Arabidopsis thaliana: one gene and its partner. The protein of the gene in region 1 interacts with the protein of each later gene in a pairwise test. Each region holds a gene or a part of one and is shown on either strand. Other genes may lie near its edges.

What was found.
Region 2: the proteins of SLK2 (region 1) and LUH interact in a two-hybrid assay, tested with the Arabidopsis thaliana proteins (one study listed by BioGRID).

Annotation. Positions count from the first base shown.
Region 1 is NC_003076.8:24,933,421-24,941,828, reverse strand, and holds SLK2 (SEUSS-like 2), read left to right. Parts: upstream 1-2,589; 5' UTR 2,590-2,909; exon of another isoform or gene 2,910-3,206; 5' UTR 3,207-3,288; coding exon 3,289-4,212; intron 4,213-4,307; coding exon 4,308-4,439; intron 4,440-4,550; coding exon 4,551-4,599; intron 4,600-4,705; coding exon 4,706-4,920; intron 4,921-5,006; coding exon 5,007-5,075; intron 5,076-5,166; coding exon 5,167-5,267; intron 5,268-5,456; coding exon 5,457-5,550; intron 5,551-5,633; coding exon 5,634-5,703; intron 5,704-5,811; coding exon 5,812-6,608; 3' UTR 6,609-6,867; downstream 6,868-8,408. Other genes in the region: BAG2 (BCL-2-associated athanogene 2), read right to left, coding at 54-359, 570-716, 812-1,068, 1,172-1,352; AT5G62080 (Bifunctional inhibitor/lipid-transfer protein/seed storage 2S albumin superfamily protein), read left to right, coding at 7,429-7,702, 8,018-8,031. UniProt on the Arabidopsis thaliana protein: Probable transcription regulator that functions in the development of the carpel margin meristem similarly to SEUSS (SEU).
Region 2 is NC_003071.7:13,863,560-13,873,439, forward strand, and holds LUH (LEUNIG-like protein), read left to right. Parts: upstream 1-3,212; 5' UTR 3,213-3,367; exon of another isoform or gene 3,368-3,480; 5' UTR 3,481-3,569; intron 3,570-3,652; 5' UTR 3,653-3,675; coding exon 3,676-3,707; intron 3,708-3,781; coding exon 3,782-3,879; intron 3,880-3,966; coding exon 3,967-4,076; intron 4,077-4,157; coding exon 4,158-4,438; intron 4,439-4,533; coding exon 4,534-4,612; intron 4,613-4,715; coding exon 4,716-4,884; intron 4,885-5,072; coding exon 5,073-5,122; intron 5,123-5,207; coding exon 5,208-5,486; intron 5,487-5,957; coding exon 5,958-6,032; intron 6,033-6,151; coding exon 6,152-6,379; intron 6,380-6,557; coding exon 6,558-6,702; intron 6,703-6,783; coding exon 6,784-6,893; intron 6,894-7,034; coding exon 7,035-7,184; intron 7,185-7,266; coding exon 7,267-7,419; intron 7,420-7,495; coding exon 7,496-7,615; intron 7,616-7,816; coding exon 7,817-8,014; intron 8,015-8,141; coding exon 8,142-8,285; 3' UTR 8,286-8,598; and 1 more. Other genes in the region: GRP23 (glycine-rich protein 23), read right to left, coding at 375-980. UniProt on the Arabidopsis thaliana protein: Transcription repressor subunit of the SEU-SLK1 and SEU-SLK2 transcriptional corepressor of abiotic stress (e.g. salt and osmotic stress) response genes, by means of an epigenetic process involving histone modification (e.g.

The DNA of each region.
Region 1 (8,408 bases):
ATCTGAAAACTAAGTATAGTATATTATATTATCGTGTAATTAATATCTAGATATTAATTGAATAATTCCCATTTAAATTTTGGGTGAACCGGTCTAACGGGTTGTAGGGTTGCCGTGGAGGCTGAACTAGAATCAAACGTTTCCCATCTTGTTGTTATGATCACCGGAGGACTTGATGAGGAGGCCGTCGGTTTCCTTGACGCCTCCTCGTAAAATGTCAGCATTTCCCGTTCCTTGTATTGCGGCTTTGGTTTCGTTTGCGGTTGCCTTGAGTTCTTGATCTTCAACAAGTCGAGAGCCTCAACATACTTGTGTAATCTTTCCTCCTTCCAACAATTTGTAAATCGAATCATTAGATTCTAACTATACATAAAAAATAATAATTGTCAAAGCGACTTCAAAAACTTGAATAACAAGACTTTATGGGTATGATTGGTAATTACTTATAGAATGGTTCCATAATTCTGCAAATTTATGAATAAAAATTAATAGAGTTGTGTCATCTAGAATTCTAAGTAAAATGAAGAATTAGATTAGTAACAGTGAGTAATAAAACATGATTTAAGTACCTGCATCTTCTTCTTCAATTTAACGTCTCCATCACCTGAGATGGCATCGAGCTTGACCAATTGATTCATCAACATCTCCATCAAATTCTCAAGATTCTTCTCTTCAACTTTCCCTCCTTTACCAATCACTGTATCAAACGCCGACAGCTAAAGTCCAAAAACCAAAAAAAACAATTCTGATTCAAGTTACGAGACAAGAGCGTTGTTATCCGGAAAATTTAAAATTATGTTTCTTAAGTTACTTGTCCGGCGAGTCTTTCGACTTGGAAACTAATATCAGAGATTGCTTTAGATGATTTCTCTTTGGTGGCGATTTTCCTCAACTCAAGGAGACGTTTCTCCTGAGAAATGGGATCTTCTATAAGAATAAGTTTCGAACGATCTTTGACACCAGAAAGATCAAGAAACATCTTTGAGTCTCTTTCTTTGTCTTTGTATATAATCTGCATGTCTTGATGATGAACTCCTGTCGCACCAGACAATATCTTCTTTAATTCCCCTGTTGTTAAATTCAACAACAACAACAATCAAATTCCAAAAACAGAGCATACTAATAGTATAAAGGAAATACTGTATAACTCGGAATGTTTTGTGTCGTTTACCGAAAGTAGATTGAGAGTTGATACTGATCTCGTGATGGACCGACCCGTATTTGACCCGAACCCGAATGCCACGTGGCACGCTTGAGCTATGATCCGTCCTTTTCTGTACAACCATTCCTCCAGGTCGGAGCTCCATTTCACCGTCGCCGGAAGTTGTTGTTCCGATACTCATTTTCATCATTTTCTTTATTAAGAGAGATAGAGAGAAAAAAACAGAGGAATGATGAGATGAAGTTGATTTCTGAAAAAGATCAAGAAGAAGAAGAAGAAAAAAGAAACGTCTGAGCAAAGAGAAGTAAATACACTTTGTTTTGTAATAAATTAATGTTTCTGTTTCTGGACAGAACTCGTGGAAGAAGAAGAAAGATAAGAATCATATAAAGCAGATTATTGTTTTATAAAATTTTATACAATGAGAAAAAAAAGTTAAAGAAAAGAGTGACAGCTAATGTGATTGTTGTTATGTCTCATTATCAGTCCATCACAGATACATATATTTAATATAAATGTTGTATCCCCCACATATTTATTTCTATTTCTGATAAATAATGACGATATATTAATGTCGTTGTTACATTTATATTTATTTGTCATCGTTCTTCTGTATTTTATAAGTCGTGTTCTACGTTTCTAAGTACAGGTAAGCTAATGAAATAACTGAAACAGAAACTTGTGTTACACGTCACGCCTTTAACTCCGACAAACTCTGCAACTTAAAAATCTCTCTTTCTTGCAGATCCACATTGTCTAGAATTATCGTCGGTGTTGTGTGTCTTCTTGCCAAGTTTTGAATGATCCATGGACCGTACGGACCACACACGAGCTTTCTTTGATCATTTCTTGAACAAGCTAGTGCTTTAGAGACAGAGACACCGGTTAGGTTTGACCTCAAGACTGTTCGAGAACAGAGCTTTGAACGGTTGGAGAACAGAGTATAATTATTTATGGGCTAATAATGGGCCTAAAAATACTGAAATAGGCCTGTTGGGTCGTAGCTCCATATAGTTGGATGATCTTGTCGAAATATTTTAGGGGTTGAATTGTCAAAGGGAGTAATATTGGGGTCAATAAGTAATCATGCAAAAAAGAGGATATTTGTCGTAAGCCCACTCATTTACAGCTGCAATCATTGGTACAGTTATTACAAAAAAATAAAATAAAAAACATAATTTGGTCAATCAACTTTAAACTACACGCGTCGCACACGATCCATGCTCTCAATCGAACGATCCACAATTGATTTAACTTTATTGATCGCAAGGTCAAGAATATGCCACGCAATCAAAACAGCTAAAGGTTACCAATCGGTCATACGATACTTGTTACGATAAACAAGACACGTGTCAGTATTGACTAGCGGGTAATAAAAAGTACTTGCAAAACCATAAGCAGATGGGTCACCGGCTTGTCCGGTCAGATTTGGTTCTTACGATTTCCTCTAGGTATATTAACAAAGGCGCGTCAAGTTCATTGCCTAGTTCCAGCTCTCTCCAGGATTTTCCTTTTTTTTATGCAAAAACAACAAACACAAAATAAATAAGAAGATTGTTTATTTTAACTTTATATTACAGCTTGAAATTTCCAGGCAAATTTTTTTCCTTCTTCTTCTTCTTCTTCTTGTCTCATTAATTATCTTCCTCTTCTTCTGTTTCAATTCAGCTGGGTTTAGTTTTAATTTCTAGTTGTGATCTCTCAGCTTTTGTTCTATATTGATCGAAGCTCCACTTAACAGTTCTTCGTACGTTGTTTCCGTGTTCTTCGCTTTTTTATTTTGTAATTTAATTTCGGTTGCTTTTTAAATATCTAACTCCGAGATTTTTAAGGGATTGCTATCTATTTTTTTTTTTTTTGGGGATTGGTTAGTTTCTCGGTTAGTTATGTTAAGTAACGAACTTTAAAATTAGGGTTTTGATTTGGTTTTTTTTTTATTTCAGTGGTTAAGTTCAATGTCTGTGTATCTTTAATAACGCACCAGATTCATGTGTTAGGGAATGTTATTGATCTGATTTTAATCGATACATGTATAATGTTGTAGGTATCAGTAGTAAAGGTGGGACATTTGTGTCGCATTGAGGAAGAAACTTTGGATTTCAGACTCACTTGGGACCTACCCTTTAATGGCTTCTTCAACTTCTGGGATTTTCTTTCAAGGAGATGATGAATCTCAAAGCTTCATTAACTCTCACTTGACTTCCTCTTATGGGAATTCATCTAACTCTGCTCCTGGATGTGGTGGACCTACTGGTGGCTATCACAATCTCAGTATGGTTTCTGGTGATATGCATAATCCGGTTATGATGAGTGTTTCAACACCCGGTCCAAGCGCAGGAGCTAGTTCGCTTGTCACAGATGCTAATTCAGGGCTCTCTGGAGGTGGTCCTCATTTGCAGCGTAGTGCTAGTATCAATAATGAGTCATATATGCGTTTACCGGCGTCTCCTATGTCGTTCTCTTCTAATAATATCAGCATATCTGGTTCATCAGTTGTAGATGGGTCGACTGTGGTACAACGGCATGATCCTAGTGTTCAGCTAGGTGGCTCTAGTGCTACATCACTGCCTACATCACAAACTAATCAAATCCCGCTTTCTATGGCTCGGCGTGCTTCTGAATCGTTCTTTCAGGATCCAAACAACTTAACTCAAGCACGGAAAAAACCTAGATTAGATTCAAAGCAGGATGATGCTTTGCAGCAGCAGATTTTACGTCAGTGGCTTCAGAGACAGGATATATTGCAGCAGCAGCAGCAACAACAACAACAAGGCCAAAATCCACAGTTCCAAATCTTGCTTCAGCAACAAAAGCTGAGGCAACAGCAACAATATCTCCAGTCCCTCCCACCATTGCAACGGGTTCAACTGCAGCAGCAGCAACAAGTGCAGCAACAGCAACAGTTGCAGCAGCAGCACCAACAGCAACAGCAACAGTTGCAACAACAAGGAATGCAAATGCAACTAACCGGTGGGCCAAGACCTTATGAAAATAGCGTTTGCGCTCGAAGATTGATGCAGTACCTATATCATCAGCGACAAAGGCCTTCTGTGAGTGTGCATGTAGTCGTCAAATTTTTTGTTTTATGTGTATTCTAGAAAAAAGCTCTTGACAGATACCAGTCGTGTCATTGCTGATTTTGTAGGAGAGCAGTATTGTTTACTGGAGGAAATTTGTGACGGAGTATTTTTCTCCCCGGGCAAAGAAAAGATGGTGTCTTTCTCATTATGATAATGTGGGGCATAGTGCACTTGGTGTTTCTCCTCAGGCAGCCACGGTTTGTTTCCCTGACTCTTTGTTTTTTTTGGTTTCATACTCTTTATGCTGATCTTACGGTGTAGTTACAAATAGGTTACTTATTCTTGCTTTTTGTATTTTCCATTTGCAGGATGAATGGCAGTGTGATCTATGTGGTTCTAAATCGGGAAGAGGATTTGGTAAGTTCCAATTTGCTTATACCCTGATGAAGAAGAGGGAAATTTCAAAAATGTTTATGGTAGCAAAACATCTTCTCTTAGTAACTTTTTCTTATGGATTCTGCAGAAGCAACTTTTGATGTCTTGCCAAGGCTTAACGAAATCAAATTCGCAAGTGGTGTCCTGGACGAGCTTCTTTATCTGGGTGTACCGTCTGAACGCAGATATGGATCTGGAATTATGGTGTTAGAGTATGGAAAAGCAGTTCAGGAGAGTGTGTACGAACATATCCGTGTTGTTCGCGAAGGCCATCTTCGGATTATATTCTCCCAAGAGCTGAAGGTGGTTTAAAGAGCTTTTGATTCCAAATACTTTTAATCATTAATGTGTATTAAAGTAACTTAGCTTATCCTTTTTCCTTTTGCCAGATTCTCTCATGGGAGTTCTGTACTCGTCGACATGAAGAACTACTTCCTCGTCGCCTAGTAGCTCCACAGGTAACATTAATGGTTCTTACAATCTTTGTGACTCTTTTTGAAATCCCTGGTCTTGAGATTTTTTGAATGTCTGCTCCCTATGGTCGTGCAGGTGAACCAATTGCTTCAGGTTGCAGAGAAATGTCAGAGCACAATTGATCAAAGTGGATCAGATGGGATTCATCAACAAGATTTGCAAGCTAATAGCAACATGTGAGTCTTGATGATTCTAGACAATATTTCACTCTCTTTCTTCCATATTTCTCAATCAATTCAATTTCATTGTTTCTTGCATCTTGTACGGTAATTAGGTAAGATTTTTCACTGATGCAAAGAAGATCAAAGCGATTTTAGCTTAATATATACAAATATGATGTACTGATGCCAAGTCTTTTGCTCCAGGGTCATGGCTGCTGGACGTCAACTAGCAAAAAGCTTGGAGTCACATTCACTCAATGACTTAGGCTTCTCAAAACGATATGTTCGGTGTCTGCAGGTATCTCTCTGCCTACTTTCTTGCATTTTCCTGGTGGCGTGTCTCCTTTTTACTGTTTAACTCTTGCCATCTTCTTTAAACAGATTTCTGAGGTTGTCAGCAGCATGAAAGATATGATTGACTTTTGCCGTGACCAAAAAGTGGGTCCAATCGGTAAGTTAATACATAAATCCCAGAGAGTCCCTGAGATTCATCAAAACGCTTTTTTTTTACTTGGCTGTGCTTATAAAAAGCTTTCTTGCTACCTTTTAACATTTGCAGAGGCTTTGAAGAGCTATCCATATCGAATGAAGGCTGGTAAACCTCAGATGCAGGAGATGGAGCAACTAGCGGCTGCCCGAGGGCTTCCACCTGATAGGAACAGTCTCAACAAGCTAATGGCCTTGCGCAATTCCGGGATAAACATACCAATGAACAACATGAGCGGTCAAGGATCTCTTCCCGGCTCTGCACAAGCTGCCGCTTTTGCGCTTACCAACTACCAGAGCATGCTCATGAAACAAAACCATCTGAATTCAGACCTAAACAACACCACAATCCAGCAAGAACCATCAAGAAACCGGAGTGCATCCCCGAGCTATCAAGGAACTAGTCCCTTGTTACCTGGTTTTGTGCATAGCCCATCAATAAGTGGTGTATCTTCCCATCTATCTCCTCAGCGGCAAATGCCAAGCTCCAGTTATAATGGCTCAACCCAGCAATACCACCAACAGCCACCTTCCTGTAGTAGCGGTAACCAAACATTGGAACAACAAATGATTCATCAAATATGGCAACAGATGGCAAACAGCAATGGAGGCTCCGGTCAACAACAACAGTCACTTTCTGGTCAGAACATGATGAATTGCAATACCAACATGGGAAGAAACAGAACAGATTATGTTCCCGCAGCAGCTGAAACACCAAGCACCTCCAACAGATTCAGAGGCATCAAGGGGTTAGACCAAAGCCAAAACCTGGAAGGTATTATCTCTAATACATCGCTCAACTTTGGGAATAACGGGGTTTTTAGCAATGAGGTTGATGAAAGCATGGGAGGATATTCTTGGAAGTCATGAGAGGCATTTTGATAGTTAGCTCCAATGTTGTCTTTGTAAAGAACGAGTTACTAAAGACTAACTTTCTTAGGTATATGAATCTGATGAGGGGGATTCAATGTTAACGTGTCTACTGTGTTGTTGTTCTTTCTTCTTCTTAGATTAAAGCTTCTCTTTTTATGAAGAGGTTTTTCTGGAAAGTGTTACTAATTCTGGAAAAGAAAAAAGACTGTTCTTCAGGAACTCATCGCTATCAATCAATATTTTACCTTTTTTCTTATGACTTTTTTTAAGCCTCGTTTATTTAAAGCTGATACAGTTACAAACATCGGTAACACGTCACAAACAAGCCAGACACATGCTATTTTTTTCTCTGAAATTTTAATAAAATGTATTTGTGACGTGATTTTAAATCATACAAAATTCCACAAATACGGATATGTAATCTTCATCTACTTGCACTAATACAGTAATACTTTTCATCTTCAATATACCAACCATCCTACTATCTACAAGAGATAATTTGTCAACTCCTTTTACCATAGTTAATTTCATATATTACATAATTTTGTATATGAAATATTTTTGCTTTGCACTAAAGAATAAAATAAATAAATAAAAAAACCTTGCACTCAGCGTGGTGGATAGAGAACAGAGTGATTTACTTTCACATGTAAATCTTGTGAACTAACTAGACCATGTGACCATGCCAAACGTCTCCTCAACTCATCTAATTAATCACTCAAAATATACACTCAAAACATTATATAAATGATAAATCTAAACATATGATATCATATACATAGAACTACATCAGATATCTATAGAAACAAACTTATCCATGGCAATAATGGCATCGTTCAAGTCTTTCGCAGCCGTTCTCAGTGTCCTTTTTCTTGCCATGACTGCTATAGAAACGGTAGTTCAAGCCCAAGAATGTGGCAACGATCTAGCAAATGTGCAGGTATGCGCCGCCATGGTGCTGCCCGGTTCAGGCAGACCAAATTCAGAGTGTTGCGCCGCACTTCAATCTACTAATAGAGATTGTCTATGCAACGCTCTCCGTGCAGCCACCTCTCTTCCTTCGCTTTGTAACCTTCCTCCTGTGGATTGTGGTACGGATTTATTTACTTTTAACCAAGAAGTTTGATATTTGGCTCGTTATCCCAAGATGAGGATGAATAAAACAAATCTCAATATATATTTAGTTTTAGTTACCAACATTTTAGACTTGGCCTAATATATGGCCAAACCAAAAAGACTTGGCCTAAGATTCCAAGTAGATTAAGTAGGATAAAACCTCATATATCAGCTCTAGCTAACTCGGCTAATGTAGTAATGTGTTTATTTAATGATATATAGACCTCTATTTCATATCTGTTTCTGAGGTTTTTTTGTTTTTTTGTTTGTTTTGTTTTTGGGTTGTGCAGGTATAAATGCTTAGTTAAGCTACGAGTCAATTCCAAGATGATCAAGGAAAACGGGAAAATAAAGAATAATGAGAAATATTCCAGTCTTATGTTTTTTCTTCTAACTTCTGCTTTACTATAATAAAGTTCTAGTAGTTTTGCTTAGAAATTTAGATACTACTAGTATAATAAAAAGCTTTGATAATTATGAGAATAAAACATTCCCGGTCTGAAACCAAATTATTCTTAAACATGTACGTACGTAAGTCTAGACATCAGAAATAAATTAGATTAGTGACTTGTTTAATATGCATGGAAAATCATGTTAGTTTTCATTGTTGCCAAGCTAACAATGTTTGTTTAAAAGCTAGAAAGTCTAAAAATTGCACCTGACCCCTCTAGTGCTTGTTGC
Region 2 (9,880 bases), on another chromosome or scaffold:
TCCAAAAGATAAATAAATATCATATTACTTTACTAATTATTTACATAGTGTATCTACTCATAAAATTCACCTAACCGAATTCATTTTAGCAAGTGTTGTAAGATCATATGGAAAGATGAGTGAACATGTATATAAAACATAAACACAACCACTCAATAACTGTTGGCAAAAGTAAAATAACCATTTTATTAACCACACTTGAAACCGACCAAAGCCGAACATATGGAATCAGCATACAATGCGACTCAAAATAAAAATAACGACATACACAATTGCTAATGTATCATTTTATTGCAATAATTAATTTATCATTTTCCATTTAATTAAATAATATAACAACGTTACGAATGCATGAGCATGAGCCTCACCACTCATCAGTGATGGCCACCACCAACATAACCTCCTCCAAGACCTCCTCCACCACCAATGCCTTTACCAAATCCACCACCGGCTCCGCCCCCGAATCCTCCTCCCCCTCCACCGCCAAAGCCTCCTCCTCCTCCAATTCCACCTCCGCCTCCAAGTCCTCCTCCAGCACCACCACCGTATCCTCCTCCAGCTCCACCACCCAATCCACCTCCTCCTCCTAAACCACCACCACCACCACCTCCTAGACCCCCTCCTCCTCCCAAACCGCTACCGCCTCCTAGACCCCCTCCTCCTCCCAAACCGCTACCGCCTCCTAGACCACCACCGCCGCCTAAACCTCCACCACCGCCTAAACCTCCACCGCCTCCTAGGCCACCACCGCCTCCTAGACCACCTCCGCCGCCTAGACCGCCTCCACCGCCCAAACCCTTACCGAAACCTTTCTTGTAAATGCCATGCTTGTGGAGGAATGGACGAGGTTTGTGTAAAAATGGACGAGGTTTGTGGAAAAAGTGTTTGTCGTCGTTAACCTCAACATTTCCGAACGAAAATTCAGCGACTAGAGCGAATACAAAGATAAACACACACACCTTCCCGGAAATTAAACCCATAATTAACTGGTTCGTTTTATATGGTGTATATGAAAGAGAGATCGAAGACAGTAGTTGTGTCAGTGAAGCTTAGTCTTGACCTCTATATATAGACATATCGTCCACTCGTGAGTACGTTACATACATAACCGGTTTTGCTTCTTCTTTTTCTAGGTTTCTTATCAATTCCGGTTTAGTTTAGTTTGTTGATTTGTTCATATATACTCAAATTATTCTATTTCAGAGGTTGAAATGCTTGGTTAAGGCGTAACCGTGAGGAAAAGTGGGAAACCGGAATTGATTAAACCGGACGTATTAACTTGTAAGAAGGCGAAAAAAATAAATTGGTTGAGTAAACTAAATTAAATGAGGTTCACCTGTCATAGGACAATTTATTTATGTCTGCCAACTGCCCAGTTGATCTCATCCAACATAACAATAAAAATGAAATCAATGTACATTTGATGAATTCAATAAATAAATAATATCGATGTATATATATATGCACATGAAATGAAATGTATATCTTATTTCCGATTAAGAAAATGAGCAAACGATTCTAGTGGGCGCCGATGGTGAAAAAACCTGAAATTGATGAAAATATATACTACAATTGGTTCATGTACTTTGTCAAATAATAATAATTGGTTCATGTTCTAAAAACCAGACTGATCATATTCGTAGAATGCAATCATCAGTTCACCATATGTATATGATTCCTCATAAATCAACCTTCCATGGATTTATAGCAAAAAGAACAGTGTGTTTCTCTTTTAGTGTATTTTCATAAAAGACGTACCATAAATGAATAAATTGTGTCGTTATCAAAAAAACAAAAGTTTATAATCGTGGCTGTTTTATTTTTCCTTTTATAGTTGAAGGACATGTCTACTACAAAGCCATTAATAATATGAGGGCTCTTTTGCATTATTCAAGCCCTAAATGTGATCTCATTTAGTGAAAAAAAAGTGATCTCATTTATTATGTCATTAATGGCTCAAACCAAACACATATTAAACCTTTCATTTTCCAAACTAACAAATAAAGAAAAACAGATAGGCTTATACATTATACATGCATCACCCACATAGATTTAGATTATTAAAAATTTGAGGTTGACTGGTTTGAGCTGTGAATGTAATCTTTTATTTAATTTGGACTGTTTGTTGTTAGAATAATGGTTGGGACTTAAATTTTAAAGTCAACTAGTGATTTGAAAAAAAAACGAGGCTTAACAAGAATATTTAACTAGTTAATCTAGGGCTAACTTGTTAGTAAGAAATTTAAGAAATACGTTTAATACTTCATAACACTACAAGTGTGGATTGTTCATTTCACATCATAAAGTACTAAAACTTCAAATTAAGTGCCAAATGAATATCCTATGCATTTTTTTTTTGTAAAAAAATTAGATTGGTTCTATTGAGAATATGCATGCAATCTTTTGGTTACAGACCTCTAGTTAAAGGATTTTAATTAGTTCTTATTTTCTATTTAGAATTTGAATTAGTTTCATAAAACATATGCAGTGATCAGTTTATAAGGTCAAATCTCACCCTCAAAATACAAACATATTTCACGAGTTTGCCCAAAAAGAAAGAACTAGTATTTGACGCAAGTTTTCATTTTGAACCATTCGTAAGCTATAACTAGAAGATTAAATACGGTAGAATAATGAATGTATTATGGGAAAAATGTTAAAAAAATCGCCAACTTTTAAAAATGGGACAAAAAAATCGCCAACTCCTGAAATGTCATTTAAATCATATACTTTTGGTTGACTTTTCCAGAAAGATAATAAAGCAAAGATTCGTAATCAACAAAACTTTGCTCTGTTATCTTTCTAAAGAACTCAATCAAAAGTATGTGATTAAAACGACATTTCAGGAGTTGGTGATTTTTCATCCCATTTTTCAAAGTTGGCAATTTTTTTGACATTTTTTCCAATGTATTATTGAGTGTAGCTACATGAAGTATGAACCATTTATCTTGACATAGCATTGCGTACTTTGAAAATAATTTCTTTACTAATAAAAAAACCTACACTTTTTTTTATAATAAATTTTTTCACTCTGTTTAGAAACCATGAATTGGCTGCTCTAACGATTCAAGAGAAATTTCGGCCTACCTTCGAGTTGACTTTAGATTAAAAGTCAATCACAGGCCCAAAAGTAAGCCCATAACTAGGTCCAAATATCGAAGCCCATGAATAAACTTTTTCATCGAATCCTAAAGCTAAGCATCAAACCAAACATCCGATGATCTCTCCAAACTCATCAATCTGATCTATCTCTCTCTTCCAGCTGTTTCATGATCGATTTACTCTTAACTTACAGCTGATTACAATTCACTGTAATCTCTCAAGAACCCTAGATTCTTTTTTTTCCTTTTCAATTGTGATCCGTCAGGTATGTGAATTCGATTACTTTCTATATCAATTCAACGAATTCCAAAAGTCATGTTCGCGTATAAGCAATTTAACCTTGTCGATTTCTTTATATTTTCTCTGTATGTGTAGCAGCAATGCTTGATCTTTAAATTTACTGATATCTGAAGATCGAATTAGGGTTCTGATCTACTTGATATTTATTTGTTTGGGCTTTTATTCAGGTTAGTGTCTGTTTATTAAAACAATCGAATTATTCTGAGTTCATATCATTTCTTTGGATTGAAGATTTGAATTCCTTTTATAGCAGCTCGATCTTGGGCTGAAGCTATGGCTCAGAGTAATTGGGAAGCTGACAAGATGTAAGTTAATTTTGTATTCAATAAAAGCTTATTTTTTTTCAATTCCTTACTTTGATATCTTTGTGTTTTTGTAGGCTTGATGTTTACATATATGATTATTTGGTGAAGAAGAAACTTCATAATACTGCTAAGTCGTTTATGACTGAAGGGAAGGTTTCTCCTGATCCAGTTGGTAATATTACACTTTCTTTGTTCCACTTTGTTCTTTCTTAATTTTAAGTTTTGATATGTAATTGTTTTTTGTTGTGTGAATGATTAGCAATTGATGCACCTGGAGGGTTTCTTTTTGAGTGGTGGTCTGTGTTTTGGGACATTTTCATTGCAAGGACGAATGAGAAGCATTCAGAGGCTGCTGCAGCTTATATAGAGGTGAATGTCTTCTACTAACATCTGGGAATATGTTTTGTTAGTTTTGAATTACGTAACTGACCAGTGGTTTTGAAATTTTAGGCACAACAAGGTAAAGCGAAGGAGCAGCAAATGCAAATACAGCAACTGCAGATGATGCGCCAAGCTCAAATGCAGCGTAGGGACCCTAATCATCCTTCTCTTGGCGGTCCAATGAATGCTATTGGTTCTGAAGGGATGATTGGGCAGTCTAATGCTAGTGCTTTGGCTGCTAAAATGTACGAGGAACGCATGAAGCAGCCTAATCCTATGAATTCTGAGACATCCCAACCTCATCTTGATGCAAGGATGGCCCTTCTTAAATCAGCAACAAACCATCATGGGTAAATTGGCTCAGCTTCTTTTTTGCTGTCGTTTTTCTAGTCCTCATACCTCTGACCCCTTGTTGTCCTTTCTTTTTTTTTCTGTCCCTAAACAGTCAGATTGTCCAAGGAAACCATCAAGGAGGTGTTTCGGCAGCGCTGCAGCAAATTCAATCACGAACTCAGCAGCCCACTGTAACTACTACTCGAGCACCTTACTTTATACTGTTCAAATTTTCTAACAGACAAGTCTCCAATCAGATATTTTGGTGTACATCTGAATCTCTTGTACGTGCAGGAAATCAAAACTGAAGTTAATTTGGGTACATCTCCAAGACAACTGCCAGTGGATCCTTCTACAGTTTATGGCCAGGGAATTCTGCAATCAAAGCCTGGGATGGGGAGTGCAGGTAAATATATCAATGTATTGCATTGTAGAGTAATCGCTCACCGAAAAGAAAATGGTGGTAAAATACGTGGTAGTATGCCTTCTATGGCAATTAGTTGACTATGGACTCCAAAATTTAAATATTACTTCCCTGTTATGTGCAAAATCATGATGAATTACATAGGGTGATATGCTAATGGCATCACGAGAATCTTTTGCTTACAATTTGTATAAATTCTTATGGTGTTGTGTTTGTCCCTTGTGAAGGATTAAACCCTGGAGTGAGTGGTCTTCCTTTAAAGGGATGGCCATTAACTGTAAGTCTCTGTGGTTCTTCTAAGAATTTATTTGTTTGTCATTCCAAGCCCAGTATTTTGCTAAGTTTCTTGACAAATGTTACAGGGCATCGAGCAGATGCGACCAGGTTTAGGAGGCCCTCAGGTTCAGAAATCTTTTCTACAAAATCAAAGTCAATTTCAGCTCTCGCCGCAGCAGCAACAACATCAGATGTTGGCTCAGGTTCAAGCGCAAGGAAATATGACTAATTCACCCATGTATGGTGGTGACATGGACCCTCGAAGATTTACAGGATTACCTAGAGGAAACCTTAATCCGAAAGATGGCCAACAAAATGCAAATGATGGATCTATAGGGTCCCCCATGCAGTCAAGTTCGTCAAAGGTAAGACTTTCTCAAATTACCAATAAATGCATATCCCTGTTGGATGCAGTGGAATCTGTTGAGCTGCATTATATCATCTTTTTCGGGTAGCAGAGAAAAAATGAAGCATCTCATTTTTTCTGTGTTCCGTTAAGTGGTGTAATTGGATCATTACGTCTGTCCTTCTATGCATTTTTTCTGATAATTGCTCGTCTATGCTTTAAAATTGTACTCTTTTGGGTTATCGTCTGACTGCTATACTTTCCATTTGGAAAATGTGTAAGGTAATGTGTTTGTGTTATCCTAATGTAGATCTACATAGGTATCAGAATTTTGTTTTTTCTTGTTAACCACATGAACCCAATAATAGAGAAAACTTATCCGCAATTAGTAGCTGATTACTACCAAACATGGGGACTTTACTGCTAAAATTTTATCAATCACATTTTTTTCTTCTGATTTTCTCTCTTTCCGTTGCTTGTTGGTCTATAGCATATCAGCATGCCGCCAGTACAGCAATCTTCTTCTCAGCAACAAGATCACTTACTATCCCAGCAATCACAACAGGTACTTTTATGTGGATCCAATCCCTCAAGTCTTATCAAGCATGTGGTTTTAACCAACTGAATATATTCTTTAGTGTCTGAGATGATTGAGCCACAACTTCCTTTTCGTGTATCTGATAGAACAACCGCAAAAGAAAAGGGCCTTCCTCTTCTGGTCCTGCTAACAGCACAGGGACAGGAAACACTGTTGGCCCATCCAACTCACAGCCATCGACTCCGTCAACGCATACCCCTGTTGATGGAGTTGCTATAGCTGGTAACATGCACCATGTGAATAGCATGCCAAAAGGGCCAATGATGTATGGTTCTGATGGGATCGGTGGTCTTGCATCATCAGCAAATCAACTGGTATGTTTCTTAATTTCTCAGAAGAATGATAACGACAATCTAGTTTTCCTCCAATAACATCTGGATACAGCATGCAGTTGTGTTGTGTGAAACAAGTGCTTTCTTAGCAGCTTGAATATTTTTTTTATATCCCATGGGGCCGTGTTTCTTTCAGCTTTCTTATGACAAGAATTAATAGCTGCAGGATGACATGGACCAGTTTGGAGATGTGGGAGCTCTAGAAGATAATGTAGAATCATTTTTGTCCCAAGATGATGGAGACGGAGGAAGCTTGTTTGGCACCCTAAAGCGGAACTCTTCTGTGCATACCGAAACCTCAAAGCGTATTCTAACACCCCAAGGATAAGTATGATACAAGTAGACGATATAAATATATACTAACACGGTCCTTTTTCTCGTTTCAGCTTTCAGTTTCAATGAGGTTAGTTGTATAAGAAAAAGTGCCAGTAAGGTCATTTGCTGTAGCTTCTCATATGATGGGAAGTTGTTGGCTAGCGCTGGACATGATAAGAAGGTGCAACTTCTTAATTTCTGAGATACGGTTTGCTTATAAACTTGTCATGGCCCTAAAACAGCTATAGATCATTTATAGGTAGGTAACATTTTGTTTGTTTAAAAACAGATAATGTGGATGCAAATTTATTTTTGTCAGTAGGTATTTATATGGAACATGGAAACACTACAAGTTGAGAGCACTCCGGAAGAACATGCTCATATCATCACAGATGTTCGCTTCAGACCGAATTCAACTCAACTGGCAACGTCATCATTCGACAAAACAATCAAAATCTGGGATGCTTCTGATGTATACTAATTTAATTTGTTTCTCTTTTATTTGTTGCAATTTTTCGTGTTCTGCTGTGACTAACTACTACCAATTTGTGCAGCCTGGTTACTTCCTACGAACAATTTCTGGTCATGCTGCACCTGTTATGTCCATTGATTTTCATCCTAAGAAAACCGAGCTTTTATGCTCCTGTGATAGCAACAATGATATTCGCTTTTGGGACATAAACGCCTCTTGCGTTCGTGCTGTAAAGGCAAGCCCCTGACCTTTTGTATGGTTTCTCTGGGATGTGAACTCTGTTTGCTAATCGTTGAATTTTCCAAGCACAGGGGGCTAGCACGCAAGTACGTTTCCAGCCAAGAACAGGACAGTTTTTAGCTGCAGCGTCAGAAAATACTGTGTCAATTTTTGATATTGAAAATAATAACAAACGGGTCAACATTTTTAAGGTAGAGCTGAAGATGATATATTGATATTTTTGAATTCCCCGGGTCAATCCACATAAAAGACTAAAAGCTTTGTTTTTTACTTTTAATACTTTGAATCTTCAAAGTCCAGTGCATTTTTCTTGTTAGATGCATTGGGGCATATGTTTAGATGTCGTAAGTGTTGATCGTTACTCATGGCTTTATTTACTTTTGATCTGGCAGGGACATTCCTCAAATGTACATTCTGTTTGTTGGAGCCCAAACGGAGAGTTGGTGGCGTCTGTTAGTGAAGACGCTGTAAAATTATGGTCACTGAGTTCAGGAGATTGCATCCACGAGCTTAGCAACAGTGGAAACAAGTTCCACTCTGTTGTTTTTCACCCTAGCTATCCCGATCTCTTGGTCATCGGTGGCTATCAGGTATAACCTATATCCCCATTTCTCAAACAAATAATGTGTCAAACAATATCTAGTCTTATGTTCAAATGTGTGATGAGGTGAATGTGTCTCTCAGTTGTTTTAACTTTGGTAAACGAATCTGTGACAGGCTATAGAGCTGTGGAACACAATGGAGAACAAATGTATGACGGTAGCAGGCCACGAGTGTGTGATCTCTGCCTTGGCTCAGTCGCCTTCGACGGGAGTGGTTGCGTCTGCAAGTCATGACAAATCCGTAAAGATTTGGAAGTAGAAATATTTCTATGTTCGTCTGAAAAGAAAAGGAAAAAAGAAGAAATAGCAGAGAGCTCAGGACTTTTTTTGGGTCTAATTTTTTTTTTTTTTTTAATGTTACATTAATAAGTTGGTTTTTTTTTTAAATTGGGTTTGTTTATGTCAAAAGCAAAGAGACTTGTGATATTTCCAATCTTTGTCTAATGATCCTACTTCTTTACTTCGTTGTTTTGATCTCTAGTGTTTAGAGTGAAAGAGAGATGTAAGTAATTTCTCTAGACCAACTACATTGTTGAATAATAATTTCTTATAATCAGCCAAACGCTTGTTTTTAAGGTCTCTTTACGAATATCTTATAATGACACTGCATACATTAAGTTGGTTTAAGATGAATACAAAACTCTAAGCATGCACATTGAAAGTACTCGTACGTTAAAACTTAGGATTAAGGATGAGTTTATTATCTGCTTAGGCTTAAATTGTCTTTGTTCTGGGTTACTTATTGAACTTCTAATATAACCGCATCTTTCTTGAATGACTCTGCCTCTCTTTCAAAATTATTTGTTTCAGCATCACTGTAACATTTATTGTAAAAATAGTTTTTTTGGGTTTGAATAAATTTAACTTTCAACTCAAAAAAAAAGAAAAACTCGATATTATATATAGAAAACGGAAATGTGAAACATAAGGAGAAGTAAAAAGCACGGTTACGTTTGTGTTTGTTTACAATTTACAAACACGTCTAACTTGGAAAAACTAAAATAAATGTACTTTTTTTTTTTTGGTCTAAAATAAATGTACTTTTTTCTTAAACATGAACTTATTTTTTGTAACAGTTGAGTGGTTGAATGAATCATTAATTTAAGTTATCTTTAGTTTCTCAATCGATAATATATACCTACTCAAACCTTTATACAATACTATAAGATATAAAATACTCCTACTCCTTCCCAATTCTCAAAACTGCTTAAACTTTCATAATCATCTAACTCTTGTAATTTATATAATCTAGTCATTAGATTCATCAGTATATTCTCAATATTACAAAGGCTAAATATCTTATGCTACATTATCCAAGCAATTCGCAGAAAACAATAAAAATAAAATTGTCAAACATCATAAGCCTAGTAGAGAAGTAGAAGTTGACATTCCAAATTCGTCCAATCTCTACCTCAACTAGATTTAAAACTTTTTATCCTAAGGTAAGTAAAATACACAAAAGTAGAGCAAAATACGATCCTTGAATTAATTCAGGTTGTGTAACCGTTCAATCTTTTCTAACGCTGTGACACATATTTGAACCCAACTAACTCAAATTTTTTTATTTTAAATATAATTTATAAATGTGGAAAAAAATAATAAATTTATAAATAAAAATATATGTCATCATTTCTATTTATAAATATCGAAATTATTACACTCAAGTTCTAAAATATTTTTTTTTTTTAAAAACTAAAGTGAAAAAATAGCAAAGTACATTACTCACAGTAGTGAAGAAGCAGCCACCTGAAAAAAAAAATAACACACACAAAAAAAGAGAGAGAGAGAGAGAGAGAGAGAGAGAGAGAGAGAGACCCCACAAAGAGCACTAATCTTCACAACCCTAACTCCGAT